Linked DNA regions of Drosophila melanogaster. Changing the gene in region 4 together with the main gene of any one other region gives a genetic interaction. Each region holds a gene or a part of one and is shown on either strand. Other genes may lie near its edges. The genes, in order: hep, shi, norpA and lace.

The links.
Region 1: of lace (region 4) and hep, changing one suppresses a phenotype caused by changing the other (phenotypic suppression), as found in Drosophila melanogaster (one study listed by BioGRID).
Region 2: of lace (region 4) and shi, changing one suppresses a phenotype caused by changing the other (phenotypic suppression), as found in Drosophila melanogaster (one study listed by BioGRID).
Region 3: of lace (region 4) and norpA, changing one suppresses a phenotype caused by changing the other (phenotypic suppression), as found in Drosophila melanogaster (one study listed by BioGRID).

Annotation. Positions count from the first base shown.
Region 1 is NC_004354.4:13,087,390-13,091,945, forward strand, and holds the start of hep (hemipterous), read right to left. Parts: upstream 3,046-4,556; 5' UTR 2,388-3,045; coding exon 1,970-2,387; intron 1-1,969. Other genes in the region: lic (licorne), read left to right, coding at 4,094-4,152, 4,223-4,556. UniProt on the Drosophila melanogaster protein: Required for the epithelial cell sheet movement called dorsal closure (DC), which allows establishment of the dorsal epidermis. Controls the expression in the dorsal epithelium edges of another dorsal closure gene, puckered (puc).
Region 2 is NC_004354.4:15,890,665-15,895,247, reverse strand, and holds the start of shi (shibire), read right to left. Parts: upstream 3,049-4,583; 5' UTR 2,997-3,048; exon of another isoform or gene 2,667-2,996; intron 2,421-2,666; 5' UTR 2,244-2,420; coding exon 2,098-2,243; intron 556-2,097; coding exon 482-555; intron 414-481; coding exon 1-413. Other genes in the region: CG15916 (uncharacterized protein), read right to left, coding at 3,761-4,576. UniProt on the Drosophila melanogaster protein: Microtubule-associated force-producing protein which is involved in the production of microtubule bundles and which is able to bind and hydrolyze GTP. Implicated in endocytic protein sorting.
Region 3 is NC_004354.4:4,320,909-4,325,642, forward strand, and holds the start of norpA (no receptor potential A), read left to right. Parts: upstream 1-1,717; 5' UTR 1,718-2,247; intron 2,248-2,700; exon of another isoform or gene 2,701-2,893; intron 2,894-4,439; 5' UTR 4,440-4,708; intron 4,709-4,734. Other genes in the region: NO66 (nucleolar protein 66), read left to right, coding at 1-681; mRpL33 (mitochondrial ribosomal protein L33), read right to left, coding at 910-959, 1,023-1,126, 1,183-1,223. UniProt on the Drosophila melanogaster protein: The production of the second messenger molecules diacylglycerol (DAG) and inositol 1,4,5-trisphosphate (IP3) is mediated by activated phosphatidylinositol-specific phospholipase C enzymes. Essential component of the phototransduction pathway.
Region 4 is NT_033779.5:15,497,387-15,505,166, reverse strand, and holds lace (lace), read right to left. Parts: upstream 6,041-7,780; 5' UTR 5,947-6,040; coding exon 5,743-5,946; intron 3,051-5,742; coding exon 1,941-3,050; intron 1,877-1,940; coding exon 1,614-1,876; intron 1,469-1,613; coding exon 1,252-1,468; 3' UTR 149-1,251; downstream 1-148.

The DNA.
Region 1 (4,556 bases), on a different chromosome or scaffold from region 4:
TGCCATCGTGTGCGTGTGTGTGTGTGTGCATGAAGAGGAAGAGCGAATGAGAGCGATTTTGTTTTTGTTTGCGAAGTTTTTTTTTCCCTGGCAGCAATTCAATTCAACAATTAGCCACTACAACAACAGCACGTCATAAAAAATAACGCTATTTGTAAACATGCGAAAGAGGAGACACGGCACAATGTCCGATGAACGAATGTGGGCAGGGTGCGGCGGAGGTGGGAATATGTGAGGCCCAAAAAAAATGACAACAACAGTAACGGGCATATCAAGACATTACTCCGGAAATGCCAAAAAGTAACCAATGGCGGAGAGCGAGAGAGGAAGAGAGCACCAAACGCGAGTAGAGAGACGCACACATGCAAAAAGTAAATAAAAAGTATGTAAGTAAATAAATAACAACACTTGATGGCAGATGAAAATCCAATAAGAAAAATATACAAGACAAATATGCAAAAACTTAAATGTATAACAAAAGGAAGGGGAAAAGAAACGAAAAAAGGCGGTGGGTGGTCTCACAACCGTGGGCACAATAACGTCATCTCTTACATGAAAAATTTAAAATTTCTATCAATTTAAGCCTCATAAATAATCGAATAACGACAACTTTTGTCTTTAATAAACCAATTTTGTTCTGATAAATTAACATATAGACCGTTATATTTTGTTAGCTATTTATTCATTTAACTTTTGCTCGCTCATTATGTACCACGAACTTGAAAATCTATTCAATAGCTGATTACACTGTTAAAATTTGGGTGTGATTTTAAGTACCCCTGAAATTCGCGGAAACTATTAACCACTACTAATCTAATCGAATCGAAATGTATTTGATTATTCAAAAACCCATTAGGCATTTTCTGGGGTTCATGTATCAAACAGTTATGGTACCAGGAATTGTTAATCTAATCGAGGCGAAAATAAATTGACGCGGTTCACAGCTGTTAATACCACTGTAGATTTGACTTCTTTTTATTTTTGTTTGGCCCAACAAAAGGCCGAAAACAAGTTGGGTACGCTTTTGGTGTTCGCACTTGGCCTGTCTTATCTATGCAATCGGAAAAACAGAACGGGAAATCGGAGGGGGGGAAAAGCGGCAGAGCTACGGGGTTGACGGGGCGCTGCTGAGGTGCTGGAATGGGGGATTATGAGCAGCTGTTATGCAGTCGGGGAATCGATAGCGTTTGCCCTTTGTTGGCGGCATCCAAATGCTCCAAAGTAAACCCAATGGCAATAGCAATGGGAAAAGCCAAGAAAAGAGCACTTCTCTTATCACAATTTAAGCACACATACATGTATGTACACACACACACGCGCACATACACAGCTTATTGGGCAATGACAATTTATTAACAAAATATTTACACAAATGCGGACAAAAGATGGTTTTGTGGCTTGCGGTTGGCGGTACGGTATATATAGATTTTTGGTGACCATTTTTGGGGATCACGATTTTTCTCAGCCCACTTTTATTACCACTTAACAAACTGTCTACAGTTGCGGTCAGAGAAATGTTGGCTTAAATCCACACCTGTCACAGAGGATCAATAAAGATTTCACCTGTCTAATGTTCGATCGATAAAACATTGATCTTTCTGCGAATTAATATCAAAAATGTTGTTTGTGCGTTTGGAAATTTACTTGGAAAGTTTTACCACGTTTTTGGCGGCCAAAACTGTTTTTCGACAACGATTTACTTTCGAAAGTAGAGAATTATCGAATATTCGAATCGGGAAAGTCTCGTTGGAAAATTTTGAGTTACAGTACGCAGTTTGATAAGCTATCATTTTTAGATAGCGGTTTAGAGTATTCCCTGGTACATGGAGTTTAGTTGTGACATTATATTTTGTTATATTTTTCTTCAACGATTTTCAAAGATTCAGGTAACTACAGTGTTTTTCTAGTTGATCCCAATTAATTTTATATATTAAAGATTTAGTAGGAAGTTAACGAAAAGAGGACTTACGCATGGGCAGTGTGGGCGTGGCTCGCGACACTCTAGTTGTCGGCGGGGTGTATGTTCCACCGAAGGTGCCCGTCGCCGGTGCTGCGGATGCAAATGCGGATGCGGATGAGGATGATGACGAGGCGCTGGCGCTGCCGAAGGGCGTCGCATGAGGAACTGGAGGTGCTGGACGCTGGGCTATGCTGATACCCGATCCGGAAACGGAACCTGCGCCCAAGGAAGGTGCGTGGGTGGCGGATGTGGCTGCGGATGCGGATGTCGCCAGGGGCGGGACGCGGGCAGATGGAACGGAACCGGAAACGACAGGGCCGCGCGCACCGGAGAGGACGATCTGGTCGTGGGACTCATTCTGCGCCTGGAGCTTTGCCTCCAAGGATTGCAGCCGACTGCCGATCGTTTCGAACTCAATGGTGGACATTATATCGAGTCGATTTGGTTCGATTTTTTATAGTTAGTTGCTAGTATCGTTGGATTTTGGTATTTATTAAATTTTTTTCGCCGTTTTTTGGCCAGCACTTCTTCGATTTTCCTCTCACTCACTCCCTCTCTCTCACACACACACAAGCGCGCGCAGGCGGGGGAGGGTGCGTGTGTGTGTGAATTGTTTTGCTGTGCGCCCTGTTTGTTTTGTCGCTGATGTTGTTGTTGTTCGGCGGCACACATACACTGTAAACTTTACACTTGCAAAAATAAAGGATTGCTTGGACTTTTGTTGTTTGCCAAGGGGGGGCACAAAAACAAAATCGAAAAAAGGAAAACACAGTCACTGTGCATTAGAGAGAGACATCCTCACCCCCACACACGCACACACACAGGCATACACGCAGCGCCCTCTCTCTCTTTCTTTTTCAGCAGCAACGGCAACAACAACTTGCGATTTTTTCCTCCTTTTTTGGGAGAATATTTCATCGGTTGTTTTCCTTTCGCGGCGCTGTTTGTCGCACTTCTGCAATCGATTCGTTTCGCGACCGCGGGCGGCGGTATCACTGGCACAATTTGATCACTCGCTTTTGTACGTTTTTGCTGCCTAAATCGCGTGTACAATAGTGATGTAAAAAAACATCGATGCATCAGCCATCGATGGTTCTTCGCCGATAATTCTTAATATCTTTTTTCGTGCCTATCGATGGTTTGCAAAACATCGGCACCTCAGAAACAGTTTTCGAACTAGGAACGGCATCTAAAACTATGTAGGATTTTATTTTACCGAGATAGAATAATTTTCAGAGGATATTTCATACAAATATAATATAACTATAATAGATTTTTCAAATTCAAATTGGTCGATTCGAGAGACTTCGTTGTTCTTGTACTTAAAATAATAATATAAGGTCTACCTATTTATTAATTAATAAAATAATAAATTATTTTAGTACAATTCTAAAACATCGAATTCTATATGTTCAGTCAAACTTGCAACATTACGTATCGAAAACGGAGTGACCAAAGTGCTAAAAAGAATCATAAATATACCGAAATGCAACTTAAGATGGGCATCACTTGGCTAGAACTTATTAAGTTTTCCCTTAAAATAAATGTCTATAAATGTATAAATAAAAAATTAAAGAAAATAAACAAACATTAAAAAATAGGTATGAAGAATATACGGAACAACTTTCTAGAAGGCTTACAAAGAGATATAGATATAATCGATACCTAACTTAATTATCTAAATTCGTTGCAGGTGGAAGCAAATTTATTATCGAGGCACTTCGATTTATTTGTATGACGATACTATAGCTGCACTCGTTGGGATATATCGATAGGACCAACTGCGGCTGGCCAGCGCTAGTGGAAAAGAGAGAAAAACGAGAAGAGAAGCGAAAAGCGATCGGTGAACAGTGCAAAAAGTGCGGAAAGGAAAGCAAAGGCAATAGCGAAAGGTTGGGCGGCAAAACCCGGGCCACACGATCCACACCGATCCGATCCCCATATCACCGACCCGCATCCGAATCCTGACCTGACCAAATGCGGTAAAAATAGCCGCACCGCATCGCATCCGATTCGCACCGAACCGCCAAGTCTTGCAGAATCCGCCAGAAAACACCAAGGAAAGTCGTGGAGAGGAGAGGGTATATATAGCATATAGCATATAGGATATAGGATATAGAAGGGCCTACCAAAATGTCCAAACGCCACCGCCTCACGCCCTTTACCATTGCCAAGGAGCCAGAGGCCGCCATGTAAGTCAAAATGGTCAAATCCTGGCCAGAAACGAATTGTGAATTGAACTACATTCGGCAATCCTTTTAGAGTCCCGCCACGCAACCTGGACTCGCGGGCCACCATCCAAATTGGCGACCGGACCTTTGACATCGATGCAGATAGTCTCGAGAAGATCTGCGATCTGGGCCGTGGCGCCTATGGCATCGTGGATAAGATGCGCCATAAGCAAACCGATACGGTCCTGGCCGTCAAACGCATACCCATGACCGTAAATATTCGAGAACAGCACCGCCTTGTAATGGATTTGGACATATCGATGAGATCCAGCGACTGCCCCTACACCGTCCACTTTTATGGTGCGATGTATCGCGAGGGCGATGTCTGGATTTGCATGGAGGTGATGAGCACCAGCCTGGACAAG
Region 2 (4,583 bases), on a different chromosome or scaffold from region 4:
TGCATCGGTGCCCTCGTCCATCAGATCCAGCTTGGTTATAACGCCAATGGTTCGCACACCCTGTGGATCCACCTCCTTGGCCAGCTTGAGGGCATCCGAATTGGCCAGATCCGTATTGGCCGGGGTCACAGCCAAAATTAAACAAGTCTCTTTGCGAATAAATTGGAATATCATCTGCTTAATTTGCTGCTCAATATCCACCGGTTGATCGCCAATGGCCACCTTTGTCAGGCCTGGCAAATCGATCAGGGTTAAATTGAGTACGTGCGGCGAGTAGACGCGCAAATTAATTGGAATGTTTGAAATGCCTTTGTTACTACCGGTCACACGATCCGTTTCATCTTCGATTTCTTTTCTGATCTCATCGAAGCTGGAAAACTTCTTGCCTTTAATGTGAAGGAACTCGCCATATTCTGCAATAAATATCAATGTTAGCATTAGAAGATAGCTTCTCTTTAATCATATCAAATGCTCAACTTACCGGTAACTCCATTGATCAGTTGCAAGATTAGTGGTCTCCGAGTTACGATACCAGAGCCGCGCGGCAAGAAATCTCTGTAAAATGGGGAAAACGTTTTGTATTTAATAATGGAATCATAGAAGTCTTTGGTTTTTGGATTGTGGAGCCTGTTCATCTAACAATATTACTACTGGGCTTAAGAAGTATGTAGAAAGCATTAAGCCTAGTATCAAAACATTTTGAAATTGCATCGAATAATGAGTATTTGAGTTGCCAATACTAAAAACTTAATGGAAATTTAACTTATGACTTGCAGCTAGTGTTTAAATTTCCAAGTGAGAACTTCAGGACTCCAAAAGTGTTGGGCATTGTTTAATACCACTGAGTACTTAAAGTAAAGCTATTTGTTAGCTAGGCTAATAAATCAAATGGTAAATGGGTCATTTTGAACACTCTGGTCACCTACATCCTGTTCGCACTGACCAGAGTTAGAAGAAGCCTTCATTTTCCATTGACATTAAGACTTTGGCCTGCCGTGGCCGTGGGTCTCGCTGCCTCTCTCGCTTCCTCCGATGGCTCAGTGGTGTCAGGTGGGCGGGGGGCGGGGTAACCACCCTAATTGACACACATACATACATTCATACATACATATAAAGCACGGCGCATGCGAAATCTAACTGGACTATTTTGAACATAGTGGACTTATGTAAGCACAAACTTTACATGGCTCAATGCAGTTTGTAAATACATGAATGGGCATATTGATTAATGTTCTTTTTCAGCGCACCCCCCCCCCCCCTTATTTGCAAGCTATGAAAAATAAATAAATCGACTCTAAAGGAGGTCAAACTTTTACAAATATATTCGAAAGTAAACATATAGAATGTGAGTTACTCTACTCAATCGTTGGGCAAGAGTGGGGAAAAACTTAAATCGCCGACACACTATCATTTTGGCCTTATCTGCATTTTTTTGGGGCGTAAGCCATTGTTTTCTTTATATGTTTGTATTTAGAGTGGACACTAACAAAGAAAAATGAGAGACAGCGCAGGCTTATAGATACAAACACACAAGAAATCGCATTGATACATACAATTTAGATTTCTGTTTAACAAAATTCAAAATACGTATACGTAGATGTTCTACAATTCGTTTTGTGAATATAGTTTGCAGAGCTGCGGGGCTTTTGGATTTTCAACAGCTTTGTGCAGGTGAAAGATAAAATTCTTATTATCATAATTAAGTTAAGACCACTGATATGGTTTGGTCATTATGAGCAAGTACACTTGTTTCGTAGACACCAATTATTGATTGTTAATAAACAACCAAAAAAAAAAAAAATAATAATAATGCCTGAAAGCGAGTGCTATCAGCGATTACTCATAGTTTTTCAGTAACATTTAATTGGGCATTCCACGAAACGCAGACATAATAGAAAGAATAGCGCTACTTTTCGCTGAGCACTGGCGTGCAGAAAAATCGATTCGCTGCATGCCAAAGAGGGGTCTCTTCAGGTCCATTATCAATCACAATATATGTAGGCTAGATATTTGGGGTGCTGATAGGGTGATATGGTATGATAGTATGATCCCATATGAGAGGATAATATGCTGATAAGGCGTGCGGGGGATACTCACTTGCCCACAAAGTTCTCCAAAACGGAACTCTTGCCAGCTGACTGGCCACCGACCACCGCGATCTGCGGCAGATCCAGTTGCATGTGGACGCCGAGCGATGTGAACGCATCTTGCAGCTTGTTAACAATTGTAATTAAACTATCCATTGCGGCGAGGTCCGATTTCCCTCACAATTAGATTAGATTAGATATCAGATCAGATCAGATCGAACTGCGATCCCAACTCGTCCGGATGTTTGTGTTTTTACTGCTCAGCTCCCGGGTCTTTTTTTTTTCTATGCTGTTTCCTTTAATCGCTGGCTTTACTTCACTGCACACACTCCTCTGCAAAATACAATTGCTGCATTATAAATACTTTCATGCGTTCCATCACTTTTCTTTTCGTTTGTATAGATAACACAAAAAAAAAATTGACAAAATTTGTGTGCGGCGGTGGGGGTGGTGGTTAATAACAAATATGCGTAAATCGTGGGGGAATGGGGAAAATTGCAAACAGAAATCGTTATTGGAGAGCACTCATGAGTTACTCATTCTCCCACACGATTAACCAACCCGATATATTGTATGTACCACCACAATAACCTTTCTTGCTTCTTCGGATTATAATGGCGATGTAGCGAAACTTATTGGAATCGGAATTGGAATCGCGAAGAAGGTAAAGACGGGTATGATTGTTGGGTTTTGCGAGCAAAAGTGTTTATCGACATTTACACGAAAATAATTTGTATATATACTCCCAAACGAATTTATCATCGACTTTTCCAATTTGTCACTTATTTCTCAGGCGTAACTGTGTTGTGTTAGTGTAGATGTCATGTTTATCGCCACAAAGAGCGCACTGCGATTTGGGCTTTGGCTTGGTCTTTTAAACAAATATTCTTCTTATTGTGCAAAACTGACAACTATCACCACACTCCGCTTCCAAATCGTTTCAATGGATTTTTTCGACTAAAACTAGAGATGCAAGAAAGTAATCAATCTGTACCCGATAAGCTGGTCTGGTCTGATTTTTTTTGGTATAATTGATAGGGCTGGGTGAATCACTCGCGATACATCGATATATCGAATAGTTTCCGTATGCCGAAGCTAAGTGTTGGTTTCGATAACAAGTCCAGTGCTTTATCCGACATCGATATCAATTTAAGCGCAAGGTCGCCTACTATCGCAACTATCAAAAACAGCTGATTTGATTACATTAACTTACAAGTAATTATCTATCTATTTATTAAATTAAATGCACATCTACAATATGCATATCCTGAAGGGAATATATAACCAATACTAAAAGCTTATAAAACTATTCATTTTATGCGCATGTCCGGCTTTTCTGCGTTTTTGCTTTATATCGATAACAGATACAGATGCAGTGCGCAAGCTTTAAAAGCATAATAACATAATCGAGTATGGTAATGATTTGACCTTTGACATTCAATTTTAAGCCGTTAAAGCTTTTTTTTAGAAACGCAATCGATACTCTATTTTAAAACCACTCAACATGATGAACTAGTTGGGATAAAAGTAGCCAACATTTCAAACTTATTGGAAAATGATTAAACGTTTACAGACCCTACCCCTATTTTCAACTTTAGAACCCAATTTACATTGGATTGAATAACACTTTAATAATTAACATTATGTACATAAGTCGAGGGATTTAACAAACGTTAGGTTTTCGCAATATTTTGTCTATGATTAACCCAGGCATCTTTGGACTTGCGCATCTTGCCGAGAATCTTGTCCATAACTAAGCTATGGTTAAAACTGAGGAAATCCTGTCGCATCTCCGGCCATTCCTCATCCGCAGCCGTCTGACAACTCTGTGCGTCGCTTTCTTCAACTTCCGCATTTGAACTAGAGTAACTGTGCTGAAGATCGATTTTGGACAGAACCTCGTGGACCTGATGGAGACCAGTGCTCGTTTTGTCCCGGACAAACTTGATCTTTGGCACTTCGCCCATCAGATGGAGCTGCGATAGCTCGTGCTGCAGTTTGCCGCTCATGCGATTCAATGTGTTCTCGAGCTCTTGGTTCTCCCCGCCATCCTTGCCCATCCAATAGACATTGATGCGGGAGAAGTCGCTGGTGATCTTGACATAGGAAATCTGCACTCCGTGTCCCACGATGGAATCGGCAACTGCGCCGGTGGCCAGAATATCAGTGATGTTCGTCATGAACAACTTGTTCAGAACAGACATGCGTCGATTGTTGTGGCTGCAAGTTGTCTTCGAGTGTGGGGTTCCAAACTTTAAGGCGTGCAGCGACTTTTGATTGCCTGATGTTCCTGCATCGGGCGATGGATACCAATGGCTTTTGCTGCCTTTAAGCCGATTTCCAAACAACGAGCCAAATATTTTTCCCTGTCGCGTTACGTTGTCTTTGCTCGACCTTTTGGAGCTCTTGTTTCGCGAAAGTGCCAATTGGCAGGCGTTGTTAAGAACGGAGTGTCCATTTTGTAGCCTTAAAACACGAATGCTTAACATTTAGTCT
Region 3 (4,734 bases), on a different chromosome or scaffold from region 4:
CACATTACCTTGAGTGTTTACCAACAGCAGGCATATGCCAATCTTCTAGAGACACTAATGCCCATGGTTCTTAAGAAGGCCGTCGATCGGAGTGTGGCCTTGCGTCGCGGCTTGCCGCTGCACACTTTTCAAGTTTTGGGCAATGCCTACAAGGGAAATGACTGCGGGTCGCGCAAACAGCTGGTGGAGAATGTGCAGAAGCTGGTGACCAATTACTTGATGCCCTCCGAAGATGATATTGATGAGGCCGTCGACCAGATGGCCAAGAAGTTCCAGCACGAGGCACTTCCGCCGATCGTATTGCCCTCGGAGGAGGTGCGCACTGTTCATGGGGCACGCAGTGATGCCGATGAGCAGGGCAACTGCGTCTGCGATTACAAATTCAATAAAAAGACATCCGTGCGCCTGCTGCGTGCCAACATTCTGCGTCTGGTGACCGAGTCCGATGGCAGCGTGCGTATCTACCACCATGTGGACAATGGCCTGGATTACTGCAAGTACGAGCCCTATTTCATGGAGATTCTGCCAGAGGAAGCTAAAGCCGTTGAGCTCCTCATATCGGCCTATCCATTTTACCTCACCATTGATCAGTTGCCATTGGAGTCTTCAGCTCGCAAGATAGAGGTCGCCACCGCCCTGTGGGAGCATGGTCTTCTTATGACCGAGAAGCCGTTTAAGTAGACGGCAATCGAAAGCGAGTTGCTGTTGATAATTAGAATTAAGTATCGATGCGAATGTGTATCTAAAACGAGCGTAAATTAATATTTTTGTATAAATATGTAACCAGATTTATAATGCTCCTATTCTGCCGAAAATAAAGCACCCACATTCGCACATATATCTCGGTTGTTTTTTGGTGTTTCCAATAGTTGTAAATTTTATTTTTTTCACTAACAAAAAATGGTTATCTTAGGCGCTGCGGATTTTCTTGCGTTCACGATAAAGGCTTTCCTGTTGAACTGAAAAAGAAACATGGGCAACATCAGTGCATATGCATAAAGTCAGTGATGGCCGGCACTCACTGTACGGATCGAAGCGTATTATCTCCAATTTGTCGGCCAAGCGATCGCGAAAAGCATTAAACTGATGTCCACTGACCACACTTTCCAGTACGACCATGATGCGCCTGTAAAAACGGTTGGTTTTAACAAAAAGAACAAATTGGATGTCCAAATTACTCACTTGCTCTTCACCTTTTTGAACAAAACGTTAGTTAGACGCATTTTGATTCGGTAAATGGGGAAAATGCAGTGAATTATGGAAATATGCCGCTGAAATTATTGTGCAAGCAAGACGATAGGAACGAAGAACAGCTGACTGCGCCTATCGATTACCACCCGAGGGCTCAAGCTTTTCACCCGGATATTTTGAAAAACAATCGGTGTCCACGTATGATGAGTATATATTTAATATTACTATATTTATATTTGATGCATTTATGTCTCTCTGTTTTAAAGCCTTCCTTTCGAAATTGCTAAAAAGCTCTCAGATGCAATGTGGTTAGTAGAAGTCATTCACATATGTATCTTTGGTTGAAGTCCCTGCCAATTAAATATTAAAAAGTTAACATACAGGTTTGAGTCCGTGCTAGAGACTGCAAGCTGTGCCACTGAGGTTAACAGAAGCCAATCGATACCAAGCGCAAGCACTGAAATGTATCGTCGAGAAACATCGGTGGTCAATGCATTCGATGCTTTTTTACATCACTAACACTCGTGCGAAACGGACGCGAATTTTCATTTGTGCTGCGGAAACCAACAACAACAGACAACAAATAAAAACAAACGAAAAACAAAACGGTCAAAATTCCGTGTAAAAAAACTGAAGCCTTGGAAAAATAGAACGAAAAACATAGACGCACTAAAAGCTCAGTGAAGTCCTTTGTGGGCGAAACCGTATAATAAAATAAATCACAGCCACACGCGCTTTCTGTAACTCCTTTTCGCCTTGCCCTGCTCTTGTTTTCCCTTTTAAATATTTTTTTTACGAGTTGGTTTCCCGAGAATTTCCCATACTCGCGCGTGGTAAACAAGACTCATTTTTTTTTTACAGTGTTTGTTTTTTGAAAGTGCAGAGAAGCTGACAAGAAAGAGATAACAACATAAAAACAGAAACAGCCAAAGAGTGGCAACAACAAACAAACCAACCAAACGGAATCAAAGTCAAACAAACGCGAACGCGAAGGAAGCTTCAAAAGAGAGACAAGAGCGTGAAAAGGAGGTGGAGAGGAGCTGCGGAGAATCTAAGGTAGGAGGCAGATTGCGAAAAATACGTTTTTTTGTTTTTTGTTGATTTGCATTTGCATATTCAAAAGTTCTCTGTTTTGAGGGTTGCAGAAGCGAAATTAGTTTTTAAAGCCCGCTTAGTAGCCAATTTGCCGGAATTGCACATTGGAATTCAGTGTGTTCCTAAGTACATAAATCACTAAAAACTAACGGCAAAAATTCAAATAGCTTTCAACAAATATTTACAATTACTCATTGATAAAAGTGGTAATGTGATCCATGTGTAAGTTGTTAAATTATTTTCGTAGCGCATTTGTACGAATGAAAGACTGCAGTAAAAGTTTTCGATTGCATGCAGATCGCTTTCCGAGTTTAAGAAGAAAAGTTGTGGAAAACGTTTTCCTTCTTTAGAGACATCAACTTAATCAAATATCGAACAGCTAGTAAGCCATTGAAATCACATCAGTTTCTTTCTGTGCATCTGGCAAAGTGCTTGATTGTTGATATTTCGAGAGGGGGTTTTCGAAAAGCGATCGGAAATCCAAATTGTAAATGATTTACCAAAAACGTAAACTTGGCCGTGACGAGGGGCAAGAAATGGTCGAAACGTGGGCTGGAGCGGAGCAGGAGCAGGTGAAATACATAAACAAACAAGTGCTCGAAGGAGGGTTAGTTGTGGGAGGGGCTACGCAAATACATAAGTATATGAATAAATAATATAAACAAAATATTAAATTAGAAGAAATTTACTTGCGCGCACGCCGACGCAAACACGAACACAAGGTGCTGGTTGTTGTTGTTAGGATGGTGTGGATATGTGGTGGGGAGGGAAAAGCACACATAAAATTGAAGTATTCAAATTTACACACGCAAAAAACGACGTCGGCAGAGCAAACAACAATTTGCCAGTCCGCCAGCCCTCTCGCTCGCACCCATCCGCACTTGGTCGCCGCGTCTCGCTCGCACTAACGACGGCCACTTGTTTTGCCCTCTGTCGACGTCCACGCAGCCACTGTGCACTGAAAGAAACAAAAGACATGGTACAACATATTCATGAATCGCTTGTAAGATTGATATTTTTTTATAAACGCTCACTTTTCTGTTAACAATACAATATTTTACTCGAAAAATTTAAGAGTTTAAAATATTTAAACTTTAGTGTAAAATCACTGAGTTATTCGACACTGTTATTTCAAAATAAAAAAAATAATGATTTACGACCGATAAACAAAACAAATTTAAAAAAATTGAGCCGCAAATACTTTAAATCATCCAATTCCCATTTAGCTTTATCATTTTTTTTCTTTTTAATTTTGTAGGTGTTAATTAGCAAATACTCATATTTTCCATCTCTCGCCCAAGCTGCAAATGTGCATTATTCAAGCTCTACTGTAGTTCTACGTAGCTTACTTTTTGTGGCAAGTGTGGCGATCAGAAGCTTTATTATGCTTCTCCCTCATTTCCTTTTGTTTGTTTGAACTGCAACCGAGCGAAAGGGGGCGTGCCAGTGGGCGGTGGGTGGCCTGGGATTGTGCAATAAAGCTATAATAATAAAATAACAAACAAACCGTTAAAGCGAACGCCGTCGCACACTCATCGCACCCACACAAACGCACCATAGGTATTGGTGTGTGGCTGCATGATGGGGCGGAAGAAATGGAGAGGAGAACGGCAGGCGAAGGAACAATAATCATATTTGCACTTGCTCTCTCGCACGATCATCACCCACGCAGAAAGAGCGGGCAAGAGCAGCAGAGAGCGCCGGTACAGTAGTCATTCGTCGCACGTATATAGCTGGCCATAAAAGTGGATAGTCATCAATGTGTACTGTTTAGTTTCATAGCATTTATAGAGCAGTTTAGTTTGTTCAATATATTCATATGCAGATTAATTATTTAAATCAGCACTTATCCGTCTGCACAAAAAGGCCCCACTGTACTTGAGATAAAAGTTCTCCGTTGCTGGCTCTCCGTTCTCAGTTGGTCAGTGGTCGTCCGCCGGAGCTTTTCCCGTTAGTCCGCTCGCATAATATAATCCGCGATAAACAAGGGAACACGGCACGGAGAGAGAGCGAAACGGCAACGTGTTTCGTTTTGGTGTCAGTTTCGGTTTTGTTTGCCGCATGTTTACCCATTGTATTATTATTACCTGTTCTATTTCTTTTTCTTTTTTTTATGTGTGTACATTTTCACAGCAATCGCATATTTTTTGCAGTGGCTGTGAGCTGAAATACAAAAAATAAAAAAAACAAGTGCAACCAAATACAGTGTTACCTGTTGTGAGTAAACTTAAGGAAACGTGGAGAGAGCGAGAGAGTGCGACAGCCGACTGATCAAACTGTAAATCTTGCAATGCTCTTCAAACTGAAATTCGCAAGGCGGGAAAAAACAAACAAATATAAATAAACAAGAATAACAAACAAAAATAGGTAGCAAAAGCAGGAACAACAAAAGCCGAAGCCAATTAATTAAATACATATCTACGTAAGTTAAACACACAAGCCAACACG
Region 4 (7,780 bases):
AAGTGTGAAATCGTGTTGGGTAGGAACGATTTGAAAGTCGAACTGTCAATTGATTGCTATTCCTATTACATAAACTTAAATTAACTTGACCCCTTGCAAATGGAGTTTATGTATTTTAAATTAAAGAAAGGAGGCAGTGCAACCAAAATGATACTGAAACAAATTTTATTTATTTTACTTCCAAATCGTCTAAAATAACATATTATCAATATCGATTTAATTGATATCGCTAATCTCTAATTATCGCTTAAAAGTCAGGCATTTACTTAATTAAAAATGGTTCAAGAAGTAGCTTTATTTAATTAATGGCCACTGTACTTCTTATTTTCTCAAAAATAAGAACTAAGGCCCTAGACTTAGCGGATTCTCTACATATGTGTTTTATATTTGCGTCGAGTATCCAACTTCTGTAAATTAACTGTAGAGGTCGCATAAGTTGTGTCAAAATTTATGTAAAATACAAGGCAAAACATTTTTCGACTTTAAGATTCATCTGCCCGCCAAGTTTTATATATTTTAAATAAATATTTACACTAGTAGACTTAAGAATCCCGTACAGTGAATACTTTTACAGTAAGCTATTCCAATATAGTTTATTAGATAAAGCAACAATTTCTTTATTTTTTTGGTGGAAAAATAAGATCAATAATACATAATTATTATACATATATATTTCCTGACAATGCCCTAAAGTTGACCCAATTTTTGGGTCCCCCGAAGACTTACCCAAATAGTGATTTACAATTGTATCGCTGACTCTTTAGACGTTACATTTGGCTCAGCTTAGTATGCTTAATTGGTAGAAGCGAGGTGCTCGAGGCTTTCCCACGAAAAAGGGGCTTCCCTTAGCTTAGCTATAAAAGTAACCAAACCCTGATTTGCCCAATACATTGCGCTGTCATTTTCTCTTCTATAAATACTTAAAATGCAGCAGCCGACCAAAGAAGACGATTGGATTTTACATATACAATAACAACTACGTAGAGGTAAATGCTAAATAATTAATAATATTTTATCATTTAAGCTATGTGCTGTAGTGTTTTGTTTCTGTTGCTGTAGTGATCTTCCCTTTTAAGGCATATAACCAGAGAATTAGTCATAAATAGAAGCCCAGTGCAACTGAAACTTGGTCAATGTAAGCCACCGTTCGTGATTGATTTAGCACTATCTGGACTGTGTTGTAGTTTTGGTTTACCAATCGGGGAGGTTACCATTTCCCCAAGCTTAACTTCTATGTGTGTGCGTGTGATTCTAGTAAATGACGGGATTCGGATCGCGTGGCTTGCGAGAATACTTTAGGCCCAGATCATCGGCAATCTCGTCTATCGCCTCCAGGGCAAAGTCCAGCTGCTCCTTGGTGTGGGCGGCTGAAAGGCAGAATCGGATGCGTCCTTCCATGATGGGTGTGGCCGGGAATCCAGCTCCCACCGCGGCAATGTGGCGAGTCGTCAAGGTGCGAACCACAGCGCTACAAAGAGAAAATGCAGTTTAGTAAAAAGAGACTCCACAGGATAATTGAAGTTTTTTCCCGTTTGATCTTTTAAAAAATGAAATGCTCCTCCACGCACAATCTAATGACAAAAGTTATTTTGGTTTTATGACCCCATTCTTACCCAATCTTGGAAAACAGGTACACCAGCATGGGCACGACTGGGGAGTCCTCGTGACCGTATGTGATCACTCCCAGCTGAGCCAGACGTCGGCGGAAGTAACGTGTGTTCCTGGCCAGCTGGTGGATCTTCTTGCGTCCAATGTCAGTGCCATCTTCACCCATAATGGTCTTCATGGAGGTAAGGATTTGCTGTGCGATGGGTGGCGAGATCGAAGCAGCATAACAATGGGCGTGGCTGTTGGTGCGGAGAAAGTCAATCAGTTTCTGGGGAGGATAAAAGATTATTGATAAGTGAGGAATATGCGAAAGTGTAGCCACTCAAGCATACCTTGGATCCAGCGAGATAGCCTCCAGCACTGCCAAAACTTTTGGTGAAGGTGCCCATCAGAATGTCCACCTCCTTCGGATCCACATTAAAATAATCTGTAACTCCTCGTCCACGGGAACCCATGGCTCCCACGCTGTGAGCTTCATCCAAATACAAGTATGCTTTGTATTTCTTTTTCAGAGCAATAACCTCGGGCAAACGGACTATGGACCCCTCCATGCTGAAGATGCCCTCGACCAAGATCATAACCTTGTCCCATGGCTGACCACCTTTTTTGGGATTTCCATAGCACACACCCTGACGGAGGACGCGCTCCAGATCGCGCATGTTGTTGTGCTTAAAGACCTTGGTGGTGGCCCCGGACAAACGCAGTCCCAAAATGATGGAGGCGTGATTCTTTTCGTCACTAATCACAAGACTGTTGGGTCCCAGCAGTGAGGGAAGGTTCAACGCATTTGTGGCGAAACCCATTCCAAAGACAATGGCATCCTCCACGCCAAAGTATCTGGCAGTTAGAGCCTCCAGCTCTTGCAGCTGCTCGTTGTCACCAAGCTCACAACGGGAGCTGCAGTATGCCAGTCCAGAGCTCCGAGCACTTTCCTCTGAATCATCAGCACACTGTCCAGTAGCGGCGGCAAATCCCAGGTAATTGTAGGATCCCAGATTTAAGCAACGTGTCTCCGTTCCAGTGAACTTGAAACTCCATCCATAATCATCGGTTACGCGATCCTTTAGAGTGAGTTCGTCTCCCGGAACACTGCAGATGGGTCGGTTCCAGCAATCCTTGATTCTCCTGTAAACGTACCTCGAGTAGAAGCTTTCGAAGGCATCGTAGAGGGCTACATAGCCATCCCGACCCTTCTCGGTGGCCACTTTGGGCACGAAGAGCAACTGGTTGATGTAGCCCAGGATCATCAGTAGATAGAATCCCAAATACGTAAGGCAGGCCGTGTGCAAAGGCACCTCCTCAAAGGAGGTTTTCTGGAAGTGCTCCAGCTCCGGCGAAAGTTTGCCCTCTGCCTGGTTGGGCTTGGACTCCTGATCCAGAATGGAGGCATGCCCATTGGGGATCGACTTCTTTTCCGGATGGTAGTTGATCGAGCTGGGACTCTGTAAGAGGGGAGAGGAACGATTATTGGCTGGTTATCGCTATCATTGGTATCACTGTGAATCTTCATAATTTCCATTGAAAATCACTCATCAAAGAGCAAATAATCAATATTGTTAGACGGGCTAGATGGGAAATTGTAAGACAGATTGTAAACATGTTCGCTTCAAAGGGATCAGCACAGTAATACCCATTTATACGAGTATGTATATCAAAACTTATAGTTCTCATGCGTAAACGCTTTTATAAAAAAATGAAAAATTCTACATTCTCACTTGCTTGCCCTTTCTATGCGTTCAGTCAATTCATCAGTCAATTAACATTTAACTAAAAGATCCATATATGCAAGGTACGTATGTACATATATAAATACAATCACACGATAACTGCTGAACAATTTGCTCCACCGCTCACATGAGCCGAGTTCGACATGAAGTCACACAAAAAGAGACAGACACAAAAATCATACAGGGGAAGCCATAAATGTATATAGTATTTGTGTGCCCAACTTGGCACACTTCAACCTCACCAGCTAACAAATAGAGCGTTATAATTAACGTACTTATTTAAGTGTATATATCATTTGCTTATTGATTTTGCTGGCCAAAGGATCCGATACGAGACATATATATATCTCATTAACTGAGCAACACAAACTGCAGATATATATTCCGAAAAATATATATAGTTGAACGTCAGCTTAATCGTATAACAATAACGAGTCGGCGACAATAATATTTCGTGTTTATTATCATTTGCCACCGGGCTTGTTTACTAAATACGATGAGACGGAGTGCGGGGAGCGAAAAGTCAAGTGGGTTACGCGATGCCTAGTTATTTAATGGAGTCCCAGTGTTAGGGTATATAGACGAGCTCGAAGCTACCGTAGAAAGATCAAAATCGAAACCGACATAAATAAATAAATAGAAAAAGTGTAATACTAATTACGCTATGGGTCGCGTACAGAAGGACAGCTAAGTAGGGAGCATGGTGTGGGATCCAGATAATGACTTCCATATGTTGGGGATCCATGGAGTCCAAGATAACGACTGACAATCGACCAGCGCACGCCAAGTTCTAACCGATTTTGTGGGGATTCCAAGAAGTATTAGCTGTGAGTCAGTAGATAATTGCTTTGGCAATTTCATATTCTTAAGTATTTCTTTTTTATTTAAGCCTTTACCTTTGAAATCATGCATACTGTAATCTTGCCGAGCTGATAAAAGTTTTCTATCCGTTGATATTGGAGATATGAGACTTGCACGCGCTAACATTATTTTCGTGTGATTAAAAATTTGAAAAGGTCTTTAGTTGCCATTAAATCAAGCTGAATGATTTCAATAAGTTGTCGCCATGGTACGGAACTATTTCATTAAATAAATTTTATGTAAACCATTGTATTACTTTCCGAAAAAAAGAAATACAAAGCTACCAATAATGAAATCTTTAGGTACTTAAAAGAAAACTAACAATTGCTCACTCCCCAAAGATCGAATTGTATCGGAATTACCCAATGAATGTAATGTTATAATATGTTTATCTTATCTTTTTAAAAAGTTATGAATAATAAAAAATATGATAATCGGTTAAGTATACCCGCCAACAGTTATTCTTTGGCAGCCCAGACGCAGGGAGAGTCCATGAATTTTAAAACAAAACTCTTATCACCGACAAATCAACGCCCACCCAAAACCGCTGCCTTCGGAGATTGCGGAGCATTGTGATTCACCAGCGAATCGCATTCTGCGAGGCTTTACGTAAAAGACTGGTGGAATGGGCCTGATAAGGCGAGCCGGGCATGGCGTGGCATGACAATATTATGACCAGACCAGCATTGTGCCGCTCTCCCCACACACATTGTGCACCCAAACTACGTACTTATGTGTGTGTTTGCTTTGGGGTCGTACTCCAGTCACTAGGAAAATTTCGAATGAGTGCAGGAGTGCCGAAGAAGAGACAATGGCTAGATTAGAGAGTGCATGTGGTAAAATGGACTAGCGTACCAAACAGTTTAACGCACATCTAAAATAGGTATTATGAAATTTCTGAAATCTAAGTTACTTTAACATGCTGATGTTCTTATCTTAGGGCTTAGTCAATTGTAAGATAGCTATCTCAGAGGAATGTATAGACTACTTAAAATTATAATAATGAAAGTGAAATAATATTGCCCAATACTTTAATTTCCAACACTACAAATTGCCTTTCATGATCACAATTTATGAAATAACTCTCTGATCGTATATGATGATAGGATATTTCCGCAGAGTTCTAATAGTTTCTATCATCCGGAAGTAGCCAAAATACGCCAAATGGTCAGCACTCGCGGCGAAAAGGAAAACACGCGAGGAAAACACTGCAGTGGAGGGAAAACAGCTGTGGCTGCCCGATGACCCAGAAGCGGGAAAAGCGGAGGAAAATCGCCAAAAAGGGCAGCAAAAATTGGGCCGAAATTCTCCAGCTGACGCACGCCTTCACTCTCACTCTCTCTCCCTCTCTCTTATGCGCGCTCCCTCGCTCTCACACAAAATCAATAATTCGCCGGCTGGAAGAGCGAGCGAGAGGGTGAATGGAACCAGCTATGGAACCACATTTTTGGCCAATTTTTATGGCCTTTTAGCTCGTTATTTTCGTTTCGTCCAAGTGTTTAACTCGCGTTTCACCCCGCACACTGAGCGAAAATGCCTGGCTCACCTGGGCGTCGTTTGCGGGCTTCGGCTGGCAGCGTCGCGTGCGAATTTCAGTGTACGCGGGTGCCGAGAACTTCCGGAGAAGTTCCTGTTTTTCCGGGGCACTGAGATCTGCCGCCCCATTGCCATTCGGCACCTTTCCGTTTCCGTTGGTCGTCGCATAGCTCTGCTCGAAAACCGTTCCAGAATCGCCGTCGAAATTGCCCATTATTCCGTTGCCGATTTCCGATTACTCAGCGGACAAAAAATTACGGAGAGATCGATGCGTTTTGCTTAAATAGGTTTCTTTCTAATTGGAATGGTGTGGCCAGTTACTCGGCCAGCTGTTATACTGAAAACTGCGCGCCTTCGGTATTTTAAGGTACTTATCGTATTTTCACATATAATTTAAAAGGCCACATTTTGTGGAATAACGCTTCCGGTTGTGTTCTCTGCTTTTAGTACTGCCAGCTCCTAGCGAATACCTCCACCATGCAAGCAGTTCAAGCCACAGTGCTGTTTAGTATACTTTCTGAGCGCCAGATGTCGCAAAAGAGAAGTAGATTTTTGTATTAATTAGATTTTCAAAGAAATTTATTTAAACTAAAATGGTTTCTATTTTAGTCACATAGGGGTTCAACTTAAATTATTTGACAGCAATTTAATGAAAATATATAAATTTATATATGATACGAGGGTTCAACAATGTATCATTTAAGTGGGAGATAAGCTAAAAAAAATAATGTTTTATATTCCATTACATATTAGAAACCACAAGTTTTCAGACTTAACACGTCAAGCATTTTCCCCTTGAGCATTAAAATCGGTCCAAAACTTACGCAAAGAAAAATTCCGCCTCGCCGGCAATAATAAATTAGATTAAAATGCACAAAGAAAAGGAGGAAAACAGAATTTCAGGCAACAGATATTCAGATAAAAGTGCGTAAAGCGGCAATTGTAGTAAAATTCATGAGCTGCGAAGTGCGTTGACTCTTTGCCGCAAGGAGACACGTCTCGGGCAGTGGATTTCGCCTCATAAATAGATCATCTCCATACCGCAGGCTTTTGTTTTTCTTCACATTTTATTGCGGAAGAATTTCGACTATTTTGTAAATTAATCTGCTGTGGCCGGCCGATGACACTTTTCAAGGATTTTCAGAGCCCATTTCAAAATCAAAACATTGAACTCGCATTTCAGTTTCGTTTTCAGTATGCGCCGCATCCCAACTGTGGGTAAACAACATGAAAACGACGCTAAGGCTTCTAATTGAGTTGGAAGCTTTTGTGGCAGATGTAGCCTCTGCAAAATGCCAACACGTTCCCCGGCAAAAGCTGCACCGATCGCTACATCGATATGCAAATGATTGCCAAATTGTCGTAGCCGGAGATGCCAAAAATTTGAAACCCAATCTGAGTCCAAGTCACCAAAGTGGGTGCTACTGTCAGGGCTGAAGCCCTTTGAGCCGCAGGCCCAGAAAGCGGGTCACGTCGGGTTTTCATCCAGCGATTGCCGATCGACGCCAGCGGCACCCTGAAGGCAAAAGTTTCCGCCGATGCCAGAGGGAAAATCACATACCCTTTTCGAGAAGGTTTCATTTATTTCTCAAAGCACTTAATCAAGGATGAGGATATTCTAAAATATAGCATATATTATTACTTGGTCTATTTTAGTAACATGTAAATATTGTATAATAAATTAAATAGGATTTTTATATTCCACTTGACAATCTCATGACATTGAAAGTATATAATGTAAAGTTGAAAATTTCATGAATTTGTTGACTTCGATCATTATTACTTATTTCTATATTTTGCACTTCTATGCCAAGTTAATCCCTAAAACGGAGAAAAATGCATTGTATCTCAAAGCTAGCCAATTTCTGTCAAAGATTCTTAATGCTTATCTCGATGATCTGATGGTGCAAATCGCTTTTGAATGCCACAAACCGTGTTTCTGTCTGCAATTTCGGTCCGCTAACTGCGATTTCGGTTGTCTGTGTATTTTTGGTGTTGCTGCTAGTTGTCGATTGCCGGTTGTTGTTGGTTGCATGTTGGCGGTTTTG